2 linked regions of the Struthio camelus genome follow. The protein of the gene in region 1 binds, or shares a complex with, the protein of each later gene. Links are inferred from orthologs where the notes say so. Each region holds a gene or a part of one and is shown on either strand. Other genes may lie near its edges.

Evidence for each region.
Region 2: GINS1 (region 1) and MCM5 share a complex: the UniProt entries of both Homo sapiens proteins name them as parts of the CMG helicase complex. The link is inferred for Struthio camelus from reciprocal best matches to the Homo sapiens genes GINS1 and MCM5.

What each region holds. Positions count from the first base shown.
Region 1 is NC_090944.1:139,909,532-139,917,460, forward strand, and holds the start of GINS1 (DNA replication complex GINS protein PSF1), read right to left. Parts: upstream 3,016-7,929; 5' UTR 2,964-3,015; coding exon 2,889-2,963; intron 2,813-2,888; coding exon 2,748-2,812; intron 2,636-2,747; coding exon 2,540-2,635; intron 2,225-2,539; coding exon 2,134-2,224; intron 2,030-2,133; coding exon of another isoform or gene 1,832-2,029; exon of another isoform or gene 1,623-1,831; intron 1,361-1,622; coding exon 1,244-1,360; intron 381-1,243; coding exon 306-380; intron 33-305; coding exon 1-32. UniProt on the Homo sapiens protein: Required for correct functioning of the GINS complex, a complex that plays an essential role in the initiation of DNA replication, and progression of DNA replication forks.
Region 2 is NC_090942.1:59,823,541-59,830,381, forward strand, and holds the start of MCM5 (DNA replication licensing factor MCM5), read right to left. Parts: upstream 3,013-6,841; 5' UTR 2,831-3,012; exon of another isoform or gene 2,757-2,830; intron 2,493-2,756; 5' UTR 2,478-2,492; coding exon 2,311-2,477; intron 1,329-2,310; coding exon 1,202-1,328; intron 1,089-1,201; coding exon 960-1,088; intron 513-959; coding exon 340-512; intron 1-339. Other genes in the region: HMOX1 (heme oxygenase 1), read right to left, coding at 6,617-6,753. UniProt on the Homo sapiens protein: Acts as a component of the MCM2-7 complex (MCM complex) which is the replicative helicase essential for 'once per cell cycle' DNA replication initiation and elongation in eukaryotic cells.

The DNA.
Region 1 (7,929 bases):
AACTGCTCGCATTTCCAGCGGGGTAAAAAATGCTGCACAAGAACACAGACAAACTTTCCCTGAGACCCAGGCCGCCTGGATGCGTTGCTGCAGGCGGCCTGCTCTGTGCTGCGCCGCCGTGTGTAGCAGTACGAGGTCAAACAGCGGTCCTGGGGCACGCAGGCGGCTTGCAGCGCGTGCGAGGCGCTGGGTGCAGCAACTGCAACGTGCTGCGAAGCTGGGATGAGCAGGGGAGCGTCACAGGAGCGCAGGGGAAGAGAAGGAGCAGGAAAGGGGTTAGGACCCCGCTCGGTTGTCTTTCGTACCTGGCTATTCTTCTTCAGCAGGACGGTGGTGCCATCATCAATCTCAAATTCGCCGTAGTCTTTTAAGCACCGCACCTGCAAAGGCAAAGGGCAGCTCTCTGCAGCAGCAGCTCTCCGACTGAGGAGCACGTCGCTGCCGACGTATCGCACACGCCCCCAAACTGTAAGTACGGGGCCGTTCCTGCCCGCCTGGCAGAGCCTCCGTCTGGGACAGGCACCTGAAACGCAAAACCAGATGGATCCCGTGGCCTGTTCCCTCTATCTGACCTTCTCTTCCTGCACCTGCCTGCCAGCGGGCAGCCCAGGCCCTCCACGGAGGCTGCTGGAAGAGCAGCGCTGCCAGGAGAGGCCCCCCCCACGCATGCCAGAAAATGCCAGGCTGTGAACGCCAGTGAAACCGTCTTCAGGGGCAGGTTTAGTTCCCCTAGAAAGTCTCTTCCTAAGAGACCATCAGAACACAGCGCTGCAGCTCCTGCCTCCGAATCCGTTGTTCAGGTGCTCGTGCTCTCTTGCATCAATTGTATAAAACAACGCTTAGTCTCATCCATGAAAGTCCATTTAAAACAACAACAAAGGAAACTAGTTGACAATCTTCAAGATGGGAACGAGGTTTCTAGTTGATCCAAAGAGTTTTTCGGGAGACAAAATTCAGTTTTTGCAAGACAAATGCTGCATAAAGTTTTCACAGTAATTCAGACCCCCCCCCCCCCCACACACACACACACCGGTTCCCTGCAGGTTGGAAATGCCATGTTTCAACATACTTTGAGCTCTCAGAAGAAGAGAGAGTAAAACACTGGCGGGCAGAGTTTATCGAATGGCTTTGCTCAGTGAACTCCCCAGCTCGGGAGGAAGCCGAGATCTCTAAAGGAGAGTGGCTCGGTCAAGTGCCTCCCGCCACCCCCAACGCAGACAGAAGCCGCCAGTCCTGCACTTACTTCGATGTACAGGCTTTTAGGAGGCTTTATGTCCTGCGTAAGGTCCAGCCCCTCCTCTCCGCCTACTGACCTCATGTAGGTGGCCAGAGATTTTTTGTACCGGTTGAACCACTCCACCTGTGGACATTAACAGCAAACAGAGCTTTATTTCAAGAGGCGGTTTTAAGCCTTTAAAAACAAAACTGCCGCGTTATCACCCACAGATGCAAGATTCTGCTACAAAAATCCAGACTAGCAGGACCAAAGGGATTTGCGCTACTGGGACTAACCAGCAGGGATTCTGCCTAGGACCCAGGGGTCTGCCCTTGCCACTCTTGGGACAAAAGTGATTCTCTCAAGTTTAAGATTAAAGAAGAACCTTTACTGAGAGAGACATCTCCATGCCCCCGCATAGCTAATGCTGAGGGAGGAGGTCCATGATGAATCGGCTCTGGTGTATCTGTGCTGTCAGACCACTGTTCCCAGGCGTGCTCATGCCAGCCGAAGGAGCGCACAAGCTCTTCTAAAGGGAATAAACTGCCCCAGGCACAGGGCAGCCGGGGATCAGACTGGGACACGTGCTGGAAACAAGATCAGCAGCGCTGTACTTCAGTTTACAAATGGCGTTTGAGACGAGCACAGGGAGAGCCTGCCGCGCCGGGTGCGAGGGCGATCGGGTGACGACCTTCTGATCCCGAACGGTGCCAAGCTGCGCCTGCACTCAGCATCCGTTTGGGATTGCATCCTTGGAAGGACAATGAGGAAACAAACGGATACTTGCAGAAAGGCACACAAAACATCGTGCATCTAGAGTGGAAAAAAAAAGTCTATCCTATTTTGACTCGGCTAACCTGATGGTTTCTGGGGAGGAATAAGTGGAAGGGAGGGAAAAGGGGACAAGGCTGACTCACTTCCTCCGCTGACATGTGAAACTGGATGGCGTTTGGCAGGACGCTGCCATACTCCCACCTGAGAGCGCGGATCCGCAGCAACCGGTCGTACCTGGGGGAAGAAAGAAGGGACAGAGAGAGAGAGAGAGAGAGAGAGAGAGAGAGAGACCTCGCTCCAAGGTCTCTCTGCTGAGACCAGCGCTGGCACTACACCTGGGCAATGCAGACACTCGGATCACTCCTCAAAGCAAAGTGCAAAACCGGGGTCGTTCCACCCTCCTTCCTTTCAAGGCGGTGGTTTTGGATCTATTTGCTAATTAAAAGCTTTCAGAGAGCAGGGGGGAAAGAGGGATGCTCCATGCCCCCGACAGCTGCTCTCTGCCGAGGGGCTGAGCCGGAGCGCCCGGTCCGGCACTGCCGCACTCACAGGTAGGCCACGACGCAGCGCTGGTTTCGGAGCAGGCAGCAGTGGCGAAACCGGATGAGGAAGATGAGGTCCGTCCGCCCCGACTTCGCTTCGGACCTGGAGAAGGAGGCGGCACGTTACGGCGGGGCAGACGCCGCTCCCGGTGCCGCCGGGCGTGCGGGGCTCGCCGCGGCCCGGCGGCGGGCACGGCCCGCGGCCCGGCACTCACACGTCCGCCTGGTTCCGCTCGTACAGCGCCCGCATCTCCTCCAGCGCCTGCCGCAGCCCCTCCGCCTGCGGCACCGACACGGTCAGCCCGGGGCCCTCGGGACCCCCGGGATCCCGGCCCGCCCCGCGGCCCCCCGCTCACCCGGAAGGGCGGCAGGTGCCCGCCGGCGGCGCGGTGCAGCTCCCGCACCAGCCCCGCCGCCCGCTCGCCGGCCATGCTGCCGCGGCGCGCGCGGGCGCGGGAAACCGGCCCCGCGGCCCAGCCAATGGGGGCCGCGGGCGGCGTGACGCGCCCCCGGGGGGCGGAGCGTTGGCCCCGGCGGCACCGCGCAGACAGGCGCACGCGATGGGGGGAGAGGGGGGGGCGGTAGCCAGCGTTAGGACGTTCCGCCCCCGGGGAGCGCGTCACGCCGGCTCCCGCTCCGCCCCCGGCCCCCATTGGCTGCGGCGGGGCCGGTTTCCCGCGCGCGCGCCGGGGCGGGAGCGGCGGGCGGCTGCGGGTGAGCGGGGCCGGGGGCGCGGCCGGGGCCGGGGGCGAGGGCGGGCGGCGCTGTGCCCGCCGGGCCGCGGCCGCGGCCAGCCCGGCAGGGCGGCGGCGGGTAACGCTCGTTGTCGCCGCGGTGACGCAGGGGTGGGCTCCGCGGTCGCCCGCGGGCCTCTGCCCAGCTCCAGGCCGCCCTGCCGCGACCCTCGCAGCCCGCCCGGGGGGCGCTCCGCGACGGCGGGAGCTGGATGACGGCTGGACGCTGCTTGCGCTGCGGACCCCAGCGCTGGAAGCCAGGGAAAGGGGTGAGGAAGGAGCCCAGATTCCCCCTGCGGCTGGCCCTTTCTGCTGCTCTCTGAGGGCCGGAGCTGGGAGCTGCCCTTCAGCCGCCAGCGGCGGCGCGGCGTCCTCCAGCCCGGCCGGGGCTCGTGTGTGGGACACAGCGAGCTCTGTCGCCGGGGCGGCGGGGAAAGCACCCGCTGCCCTGGTGTCGGTGCTGCAGTGGTCTCCAGGATCTCTCTCCAGCCCCCTCATCTGTGGGGTCTCCTGGCTCGCTCTCCAGCCCGCCCGGAGGATGCGCCGGGACAGCAGGAGGAGGCAGCGGGATCGTGTCCGTGGCGCCGTTGGGGCCGGCCGGGGAAGCGGGATGGAGACGCCGCTGTCGCCCCTCGGTGGGGAGCAGAGCCTGGCGCAGCGGGTGAGCAGGGAGGACCCGGAGCCGCGGCAATCAGCAGGTCTGTGGGAGCGGGACGGCCCCGGTGCCGCGGTCGACGCGTGTGCGCGGTGCCGGAGCGCGGCTGGGCGGGACGCCCCTGCCGGGGGCTCGGCGTGGCCGAGAGCGGCTTTCCCAGCCGCTCGCCCCGGGCCGGCTGCGCCGCGGGGCCGGCAGCGCCGCTGGGGAGCCCGGGCTGTCACAGCCCGGCCGGGGGGCTGGAGCTGGGGCCGCTCGCCGCGGAGGGCTGCAAAGCCGCCTGCAGCGCAGCCCCGGCCCTGCTCGGGGAAGCGGGGCTTTTGTCCCTGCTGGTGAGAAGCGCGAGCGCGCCTTGATTTTGCGATTTTGCCGGGCTGCGCGCCCTGTGCTGCCAGGTCCTGGTGGCGGGTCCCTGGCCCCTGGCAGCGCCCTCCCTGCCCGCTGCCGGGAGCCGCCTCGTGGGACGCCGGCTGCCGCCGCCCAGAGGCGCTGAAGGCGCTTTCCAGCCCCAGGAGGAGCAGACTTGCGGGTCGCCTCGGCGCACCCCTCGCGGAGGAGCCGCGGCAGGACGCAGCCCGCGCTCGCTCCGCTTCTGGGAGCTGCGTCCCACCTGGCTGCGCTGCTGCGCCGGGGACAAGCGCAGTGGGACCGTGCACGGGCGCAGCCCGCTGCGGGGTTTTGGCTCTGGGAAATAAATACACACTGGAGCGGTGCAGCCCCCCCCCCAGCAGCAGCAGCAGCGCGACACTCGCTGTGTTCAATCCAGGGTTTGTTTATTTAGCCCCAGCGCCGCTCTCAGCAGGCCCCTTCCTCGCCCGCCCTCCGCAGCCCCTGCTCGGGGCGACCTGCCTGCGACTGGAGCCCGGCACCATCTGCGCACCCTTGGGCGGGGGGGGGAGGCCACCGTCGCTGCAGAGACCATCTCCAGGGACGAATCCTGCCCCGGCATCCCCTGATCCCAGGGTTTGGGACTTGGCAGCCCCAGGGATACAAATATCTCACTGCACCCCCCCCCCCCCCCCGGGCTTGGCCTCTTTCTTAAAGGCATTGGGTCAGTGCTGGCAGAGACTAAGTGAGGTGTGTGGGGACAAAAAATCAGCGAGGCTTTTTTGCCCCCCCACAGCTCACTTAGTCCCTGTTGCGGAGGGGGCGTAGGCTTGAACCAGGCCCAGGGTAGGCTGGGGAGGGGGGGCCAACACCCTTCCCTCAGCCTCTCCCGGGCTCGGGCTCAGCCCCCGCCCCCCTCCACAAAAAAAGCCTCGCTGATTTTTTGCCCCCCCACACCTCACTTAGTCTCTCCCTGCACCGGCCCCATTGCTCCCAAGGGGATTTCTCCTCCTCTTCAACCCACCCACCTCGTGCCCTGTGCGGGGGGGTGAGCGGAGCGCTGGCTCGGAGCAGAGAGACCCTGTTTTCCCCCAAAGTGAACCCGGCTGCTACTGTTGGGGCTGTATCCAGCAGGGCCGAGCCAGGTGCAGTCCTGGGGGACGCGGGTCCGAGGACCGGGAGCTGCTGCCGGGGCCGAGCTGGAAAGGTCGCGTCCTTGCTGCGCTGCTGCGCCCCGCAAACGCGGTGGGCTCCCCCTGGGTCTTTGCCTCCTGCCCAGTCCAGCTGTTCAGGCTGGAACAGCCCTTTCCAGGGGGGTGAACCCAGACATTGACCCGCGGACGCTTTGCTCCCTTCGGGACCTGAAGCCCCCCGGGGCCTGAGGCAGCCGGTGCTCGCCCCAGCGCCCCGGGGACCGGGCTCCGCAGCTGCTGAGGACGCGGGCTGGGCCAGAAAAGCTCTTCGCTGCGACGGCAGCCCTGGCGCCGAGGCTGCCGGGCCTGTGGGGTTGCTGCCGGGGGCCTGTCCCGGCTGTCTGGCTGACGGCACCGCGCGTGCTGCAAGGGAAATAAAACATGCGGAAAAATATATTAAACCAGCCATAAAAAGGGGATGTGCTGTAAAACGACCCGCTCGGGCCCACAGCTGCCAGCGGTTCATCTGCACAGCGATCCCAGCCTCAGGATAACGGAGAGGCCACGTGAGCAGGCAGCTCGCTGTCCCGCCTAGAGCCACCATCAGTTTACTGCCCCTTCCCATAGGGCAGGATTGGCGATAGGACCTGACTGCCTCCTTGAACAGCAAAGAAAGCGGTTGAAAAATACCTGGTCAGAAACGTATTTGCATACTCCACGGGCAGATCGCCGCCTCCTGCAGCGGAGCCGTTCCACTTTTCCTTCCCCGTCAAACGCTTCGTCGGCGTGCCTGGAGACGCCACACTGAGGGACCGTCACCGTAACCTCAGGGAGAAAAGAAATAATAAAGATAGATGTCTATCGGCCACGGGCCTTCATTCTGGCGCTGTTTACACGCACGCAGTCTAACTTATCGTTACAGCTGGCAGAGCCATTTTTCATGTAAGCACAACTGTAGACGCTTCCTTAAGGCCTTGCGGGGGCCGCGCGCCCCTCCTCTAGCCAGGTGCAGCGCTCACGCAGGCATCGCCTTCCCCACACCCGTGCCTCAGTGAAACGAGCAAATGAATTATTGCATTACTGCTCGGTATATTTCAGCAGTCCTTAAAATCCTCAGATGAAATGAGGCCAAGGTCACGGTCAGAAAGCATCGTCTCAGAAGAATCGCGCGACTTACCCGGACGAGGCTGGCGAAGAGCGGCACGATTACTGCCGCGCTCTCCCTTTTGCGGACGGGAAGCTCGAGTCCGGCTCCCCGTTGTTTCGGAGGAAAACATACAGAGTCCCCCGAGTGAGTTAGCGCCAGATGCTTCACCGCCACCAGGTCCACCCGCGGCCGGGGCAGCGCCGGGCCGGCCAGCAGCTCGGACCCAGCAGCTCCATAGGGGCGCTTACAGCCAAAACAGCCTTTTCAAACCGCCGATCCACATGCTGTTAGAAGCCCTTAGCCTAAAGCTGCCCAAGGTGACAGGCCCGTGTTAGCACGGTGGCCCCTGTCCCCAAGCCTTCCTTTCCGTCAGGGTATTTAGGCTGAAGAACAGGACTCGGAGGGGCAGCAGCAGCCCAGGGCGCACACCGAGAGGAGGGCAGCAGCCGCATGTTGTCCACGGCCAGCGAGTAAGGCGGCACTCACGGGCCCGAGCGGCAGCGACAGCGATTCGGGTTATAAATCAGGGAAGCCTGTCCAACAGCACCAAGCCAAATCTACTGCGGAGGGCTTACAGCCTCCCAAAGCAGCGTGTTTACAGCAGGCTCGACAGAGCTGTGCGTTGTCATGTAACACAGGGAGCTGGACTAGGTGACTTCTCCCTATTTTTTTGGTCTTAGGTTATTTTCTTCATATTTCATCAGAGAACAGGTTTATTCCCAGGTTGAGTCACCTACCACCAACCAAGCCCCAGACTCGCACGGGTGCCAAGCGGGTGCACGCCGGACAAGCAAGCAGAGAAGTTCGCTTCTGTCGGGCGAAGCGACTGCGCCTAGGCCAAAATAAGCACCCCGCGTCACCCGTTCACCCCCGGGCAAAACGAGTCGGGGGCCGCACGAGACCTCGCCGGTTTGTTCGAGCCTGAGCACGCACCACGAAGCGGACCCGCGGCTGTGCCCGCGGCCAGCCCCGGGGATACAGCCGCGGCAGTCGGGAGATAATCAGTGATTTTAAAACACAAAAAAAAATCAGCCAAGGGAAGCGCCCGCGCAGGAGATCTACGCGCTGGGCGAGCACCAGCCCACGGCAGCAACAGACGAAGCGCGAGAGCCGCGTCGATGCTAGCTGCCCGCACGGCGATGCAGGTATAAACGCCGTTCCCGGGGCTAAACCCGCCCTGCGGCTGCCGCAGCGCCCGGCGAGGGCACGGGTTCAGGCCTCTCGGCCGAGGCCGCGCTGCTTCGCTGTGCCTGCTGTGTATTTAATACGCCAGCCGCCCTCCCGCCCCCATGCCTGCCTCTGGCTGAACGTTACCTGGGGTTTAAGCACCCCGTTGCCCGAGCACTCGCACGCAGGAACTTGGTTCTCCCAACTGCGCTGCTGCATTGGGCAAGTTATGAT
Region 2 (6,841 bases), on another chromosome or scaffold:
GTCTGCAGCAATAGGGAAGAGCAGACGCTGAAAGCAATGGAAATGCAGGTCTAGAGGAAGAAGCTTTTTCAACCAGCTTTTTCAACCCCGCTTGCAACAGTGGTCACAGAACATCCATGATCAAGGTTACTCCTAGATGAACAGAGCTAAAAGCTACTGGCCAAGGATGGGTGCAGGCACTAGGGCAACTGGAAGGTAGAGGCTCAGAGCGGTGCAGACACTTCCACCTTGTGGGACAGGTTGCTGACTCCATGCAGCATGCATGGGATGAAGGGGAAGAAGACGACAGAGTCTTTTGTCCCACTACCCTGGCAGATTCATCTCCATTCCAGTCCTTACGTGTTGCATTTCCTGGGCAGGGCATAACCTTCCAAGCCTGGGCGCACAGCAATGTTGCTGATGGTGTTACGGCAGCTGCGGCACTGGATAGCTATTTTGGTGGCTTTGGCTCTCACAGGTGTTGCTGCAATTATAATCCCAGGGATCTTCACAAGGTGGGACATCTGGTCAGACTGAAAGGGAAAAGGTGAAGGGAAGGTGAGAAAGCACATTGCTGGAAGACTGACAAGAAATTTAACCATGATACAAGATGTTAAAGAAACATGGGGGTACCAGAATAAAAGAAGTTTACACTTCTTGACAACTCCATACTCTTGCTCTATAGTAGCAGGGGAAGGTCGCATGGCTTTAACTACTCTGCCTTCAAAGCAAGAGAGGTAAGAGGATAAAACACTACACCTAGAACACCCCTAACAGCAGTAACGTCCCCAAAGCAGGAACCAATCAAAATAACCCTGTGCAGTCAGATGTAAGACGCATTATATTCCTGTGCGTAAATTAGTGAACAACTCGTGTCCTGAAGTAAATAATCAAGTACTTAAAGTTCCCTCAGCAATCCCTCCCTCTCACGAGCAAGCCCTGCCACCTGTTTCTCCACAGAGCAGCTAGATTCACCTCACCTTCAAACTGCGGATGTTGGCTGCATTGGCATCTGATCTCAGCATGACCTGGATGTCTTGCAGAGTTTCTTCACCTGAAGGACGAGGACGGGTGACCTCATCTGCAACTTCTTTTGCTGCTTCTTCCAACTACAAAGGGAATAACTAGGCTATTACTGACATACTACAGTGTAATATCAGGACTGCTCTCGTTACATGACTGAATGTCAGCGCACCAGATCTCCCATTCCCTCCATCCTTACCAGCTGAAGGTGCTCCGCTGGTTGCTTGTACAGATAGTCAGCAAGATCTTCATCAAAGCTGGCTAAGTCTTCCATCTCCACCTCAATCCAATACTGACCCAGGTTATAGTGCCGTTTAAGCTCATCCCTGCAAGGCAGTAGGTAGTAAATGCTTGCAGAGCAGAAAGCACTAATCTTAACAAACGTGTCCAGCCACCATTCCACAATGACCCTGTCACTAAACAGGGAGAAGAGAAGGCAGGTTCTGCATGGAGTCCTTAGTTTGGAAAATTGGGAAATTCCCAATTTCCTTAAATTGGGAAAATAGGGAGAGCTCTAAGAGAAGCCAAGGGGGTCCTGGGCAAATCTTTCATCCAAATACTCTCTGAAATGTGACACAAGACCAGGAACACTAGTGCTTGCAGTGACAGTGTAAATTTAGTGCTAATACTTTAATTCTAGAATCACAATATCAGATGTGCAATTCAGGAACTCCTATACAGAATGTCTATTGTACCTAAACTGCGATTCTAAAAAACAGGATGTAATAGCATAGCAGGCAATATTCCCCTTATAAAAACTAGGGTGCAAGAAATTCAGACATGAAAGGTGAAAGATTTCCCTGACCCTTGCATGATATGTCTCCATCTTCTCTCTCCGTAGTCTCTCCAAGTTGCATAGGCAAAATGATAGCCAAGGGACCTTCAGAGCCTCAGAGGGCATAAGCGAACAGTGCTTTACCAATTTTAATACTCCCGATCAGACCAAAACTCTGGACCAGGAAGCACTAAAACTTGAAAACAGACCTTGAAATTCTGATCTAAGTGCAAGTTCGACGATGCAGATCCCGCTATTCCTACCTCTGCCACTGTAGACCAGACTACCGCCTAAGAATTTGGGAGAATGCCAAACCTCAGTTTTCCCATAAGCTCAAATGGGAACAATGTCATTTCTTATCTTAACAAAGAGCTCTTCGGGGTCTACAGGAAGGAAACAAGCTAAAATACGCTACTGTATCCTTTTGACTTACATAGCAGAAGGCAGGTTAAGAGCGGATTGGACGTGCAAGGAGGAGTGAGTGAGTAAGGCTACAGAGAGAGAAGAGCGGTTGCTACAAGTCACAGCAGCACCTGTATTTGAAGGTGAAGCCTGTCCGGTCCGTGCCCACCCGGTACTGCCGTAGAAACTCCTTGAACCGTTTCTGCAGCTGGGACTTCCGAATCTGCCCTTCATCGGCCGACACGTCACCCCCAAAACTGTCGCTGTAGTAAATACCGGGGTCGTCGAAGCCGGACATGGCAACCACGATTCACTGAAGGGGTGGGAAGACACGGTCAGCCCCCTGCCCGCCTCTTCCTCCCCCCAAATGTCTCAGGGGGTCCCCACCCTCCGGTGCCTTCCCTGCTACACCGCGGTCCCGCAGCCCCTGCCCCATCCATGACTCCATTACTCCTCCCAACCTGCCCACCCCCCCCAAAAAACTCTCCCCACCCCCACCCCGCGCTGCTCTCCCTGCCCCACCGACTGCGCCAATAACCCCCCAAACTGCCCCCTCGCCCCCGCCCGCGGGACGGACCCCAGACCCGGAGCGGCTGGTGCTGGGACAACCGCAACTCGTCCGTCCCCCCCCCCCGCCGCCCGGCTCCGCACCTCGCCGCTCCCCGGGAACCGGCCCGCCACTTTTCGCGGCAAAAGCAGCGCGCGGCGCTAACAAACCGGACACACGCCCCCTCCCAAGCGCGCCGCTGCTGCACGCTCCTAATTGGCCCGCCCGCAGCGCGCCGCCCCGGATTGGCCCTGGCCGTCCTTTCCCTCGCCGCCCCGCCCCCTTCGGCCCAGGCCGCCGCCGCAGCCGAGCGCTCCGCCCCCTTTCGGCCGGGCGCATTTGGCGCGAAAACTGGGAGAGAAAGGGAGGGGAAAAGGGGAGGAAAATGGCGGATCGGGCGGGACTATTGCAGGCGGCGCGGGGGAAGGGGGGGGGAAGGCGGGCGAAACCATAGCTGCCGGGGAGGGGGGGAGAGAGCGCCTAGAGGCGAGGCTGGCGGGGCGGGTCCCTGCGTGCCGTGAGTCGAGTGACGACGTTAATGGACACGAATAAAATAAAGCGGCGATTATCGCAAGGCTGGAGGCGGAGGCAGGGAAAACCTTGGGTTGTCTAGCCTTCCTGCCTGCCTAGATGCTCGTTGCTGACAGGCGTTGGCAGGAGGTGTTCAGCTGAGGGCCTGGCAGCTCTTCACCCTGCTTGGCGCTCCAGGTGTTGGCCCCGGGCCAACCCCCCCCCCCCAAACATGGAGGGGGGTGCAGTTTAATGGGGCTACAGCTGCCTCTGAAGCCCATCGGGTCAGTGGCAGCCTTTAGTGTCCTTGGGCAGCGCTGGGGTCACCTCTGACGCCCGCAGAGTGGGGATAACAGAGATCTGTGGGGATTAGTTAGCGTTCATACAATGTTTAATCAATGCTAATTTGCCCAGAGAGGCTGTGGAGTCTCCGTCCTTGGAGATACTCAAAACCAGCTGGACACGGTCCTGGGTAACCTGCTGTAGGTGACCCTGCTTCAGCAGGGGGCTGGACCAGACGGTTCCTGCCAGCCCCAACTGTTTTGCAGTTCTGAAGTGACAGGTACCATAGGCCAGATGAGGAGCACTCTACTGAGCCGCGAGAGGTGCCTCCGAGCGCGTTCAGAGCCCTTTCTGCAAAGATTGTATGGGCCAGATTTGTTTTTGTGCTCCTGCCTTTTGGGGCAGCTCTTCTGGGATGCAACCTGCCCTCGAGCTCTGACATCGGGACAGGGGGATGAGGGCTAGTCCTTAGTTCAGGTGACAGGTCCATAAAAGGGAGAGAGGGGAGGGGAGGGGAAGGGAGGGGTCATGTGCTTTGGACATGAGTCATGTCCAAGTCACTCCATTTGGCAAGGAGTCATCCTTGCTTTGGGACATACTGGAAAAGGGAATGGCAGGTGGTTGGACTGCCCAGAGTCCCATAGGGAAGACAGTACTTACACAGCAAGCCAAATACGCATATAAACAGACTGTTTTTTTAGGATACGTTTCCTCTGGGATGTTTTTCTGCTAACTACTACTGAATTTTTGGGGAAAGCTGACTTGTCATTGGGAAACCATTATAGCTCCTAGAAAGTGGGGTACTGCACATATCAAATGAAAACCAGAGCTGGGAAGCATAGTGTGTTGCAAGGGAGATTTTAACAGCACCGGGTGGAAATCTTGTCAGCTGTAGCTATGCTGTAGGGAAGCCAGATATTTTCATAGAGCTTATAGATTAGTACAAAGCAAAGTTTTAGCGTTCACCTCTGAAGACTTGCTTTAGCTCAGTCTGGCATCCTTCTGTGTGTGGTACGGCAGTGGCTGTGAGATAACTCAGAGCATGATACTCTTCTGCTATGAACAGGAAGGGGGATGGTGTCAGTTTGAATCCAAGTTTCTTAACTTTGAGGTCACAGCTATGGTCTCTGAGGGCAGCAGAGCGGGGGGCTGATTGTGCTAGAGTGCATTTTCTGAGCTCTTGGGCATTTGTTTGCATGTTTGGGAGGTTTATTTATTCAGCATGGTTGAATGAACATAATGATTTAGTTGGGGTGGCTTAGAGAGACTGAGTAGGTGGAACTTAAAATAAATTTGAACGAATGAAATGAGTTATAGGATTTGAATAGCTGTCAAGCCTAATATCCCTGCTTTTCACACATTTGACTCTCTTTTTAACAATTAACTTGTTTTCTCTTTTTCTGGGGATCGGTGAATGGGTCCAAATAGAGAAGCATTAAAAGAGATTTTACAAGAAAAATAGGATAGACAAGAGCCTGATGATAATGACAGTCTCTCTTTCTCACTGTTTATTCTCTGTAGGACCTGCCTTCTGATTCTTGCTCTTTGAGTAGGTTAAGTGCTGATCATTAATACAGATCAGTAGCAATAAATGCCTTTGGGATTAAGGCTACAGCCAGAACAGGCAGCATCATGAAGACAGGTTGATCACAGAGGCTCCTCAGGTAGAAAGGGGGGAAGGGACTCTGAGCTGAAAGGTAATGGCCTTGTCAGTATCTGCTCTGTTACACTCAAGATGCAGCCGCTCCTGCAGTTAACTTCTGTATTAGAAGACCTTCATAAGCAGATAAGGCCTATGGCCATAACAGCAGCTGGCCGCACCTCCAGTTTTGAGTGAGCAAAAGGGGAAAACAGAAAGCTGTACACATGGACTGCTCCAGCACTGCTACTTATTTGTACTGTCTTTAGGAACTCCTTGTACATGCCAAATTCTGGCAGTAAGCTGGCTTGGTTTGATTGTTACCTAGTTGAGGACATGCAGTTACATGCTTGATGTCTCTGGTTTTGATGTCTTGTAGGATGAAAAGCTAGTATGTATTTTGTTTGTGAGGGGTGAGAACATACTTCTTTTTCTGGTTCATGGTGATGTTCTCAGAAAGGCACTATGATTAACAGCACCTGGCCCTTAGCTGCTACAGGGCAGGGGCAACAGCCCTAGTTTAGACCAGCCAGGAGCCCAGTCACCTTTTTCCTTTTAATAGAATAGCAGCTAACTCTTAGGTCTAGCTTCTACCTCTTAAAGATACTTTGTACAGTCACAGAATTTCATTCAATTTCTGGAAATAGAGACCATTATGAAGCTTAAGAAACCTGACTGAGCTTGTACAACAAGTTATTGTTAGAACAGAGTGGGAACAGAGTCTGGTTCTGGTAACTCCCACTTTTGTCTATTGTCATATCTGTGGAGGCAGCAGCTCCAACAGACATAAAATTGAGAGGCAGAAAGGCACCTCCATTCTCCCTGGATATGGCTTTAACAATAGGAAACACCAGGCCTGAAGATTTTACGTTAATGTTTATTTTATATATATATATAAATTATATAACAAGACAAAAGATCAACACTGTATCTTCAACAACTGTGTTCTGCTTTTTAAAAACCAAAAGTGATTGGAAAAAGATTTAACCTACTAGTGTCATATAAAACAGTCTATAACCCAGAGGAACCATGTGGCTCCACAGAAATAGTGATCACAGTATCAGCTAGCCATATAAAATATTGAGCAAACAGGGCTCCGGGGAGCTTTTTCTTTCTGAGGCAAAACATGATGTCAAACCTGCGTTTCTGATTTTGTAGGATTTTTGCAGGAGTTCTATAAAACAATGACAATTCCTGGCCACTGCTTTTAGGCCTTTTCTGCCCTTATGTTCTGGTGATAAATTTAGTCTCTGGCATAGCTCACACCAAGCACAGGAGAGACTTTGCCTGAACCCCCTTAGCACTCTCTTTGCTTTCTGGGGAGAGAAGCCTCCTAATGTTAGTGACAGAGCCAAGATCACAGCACCCAGCCAAGGAGAATTTCTCTCAGAAGGCCTGGGGAAGATGGATTAGTTCAGGGTGAGGGAAGGCATGAAGAGAAGGTGACGGTTCTATTTGTTCACATGGCAAATAAGCCCACGGCGACTGTTGTGGCTAGGAAGCTGAGTGCAAGGATCCACCGCACAAGGGGAGTGGTGGGTAGCATTTCTGTGTGTCTCATATTTGTCTTCTCTCTTTCTTTCCCAGGCCCTGGACCTAGATTAAATAGAAAAAAAGTGGGTGAGATCAGGATGAGGCAAGAGGCTGCCAGTATGCCATGCTAGCCCTCCACAGTGATGGAGCT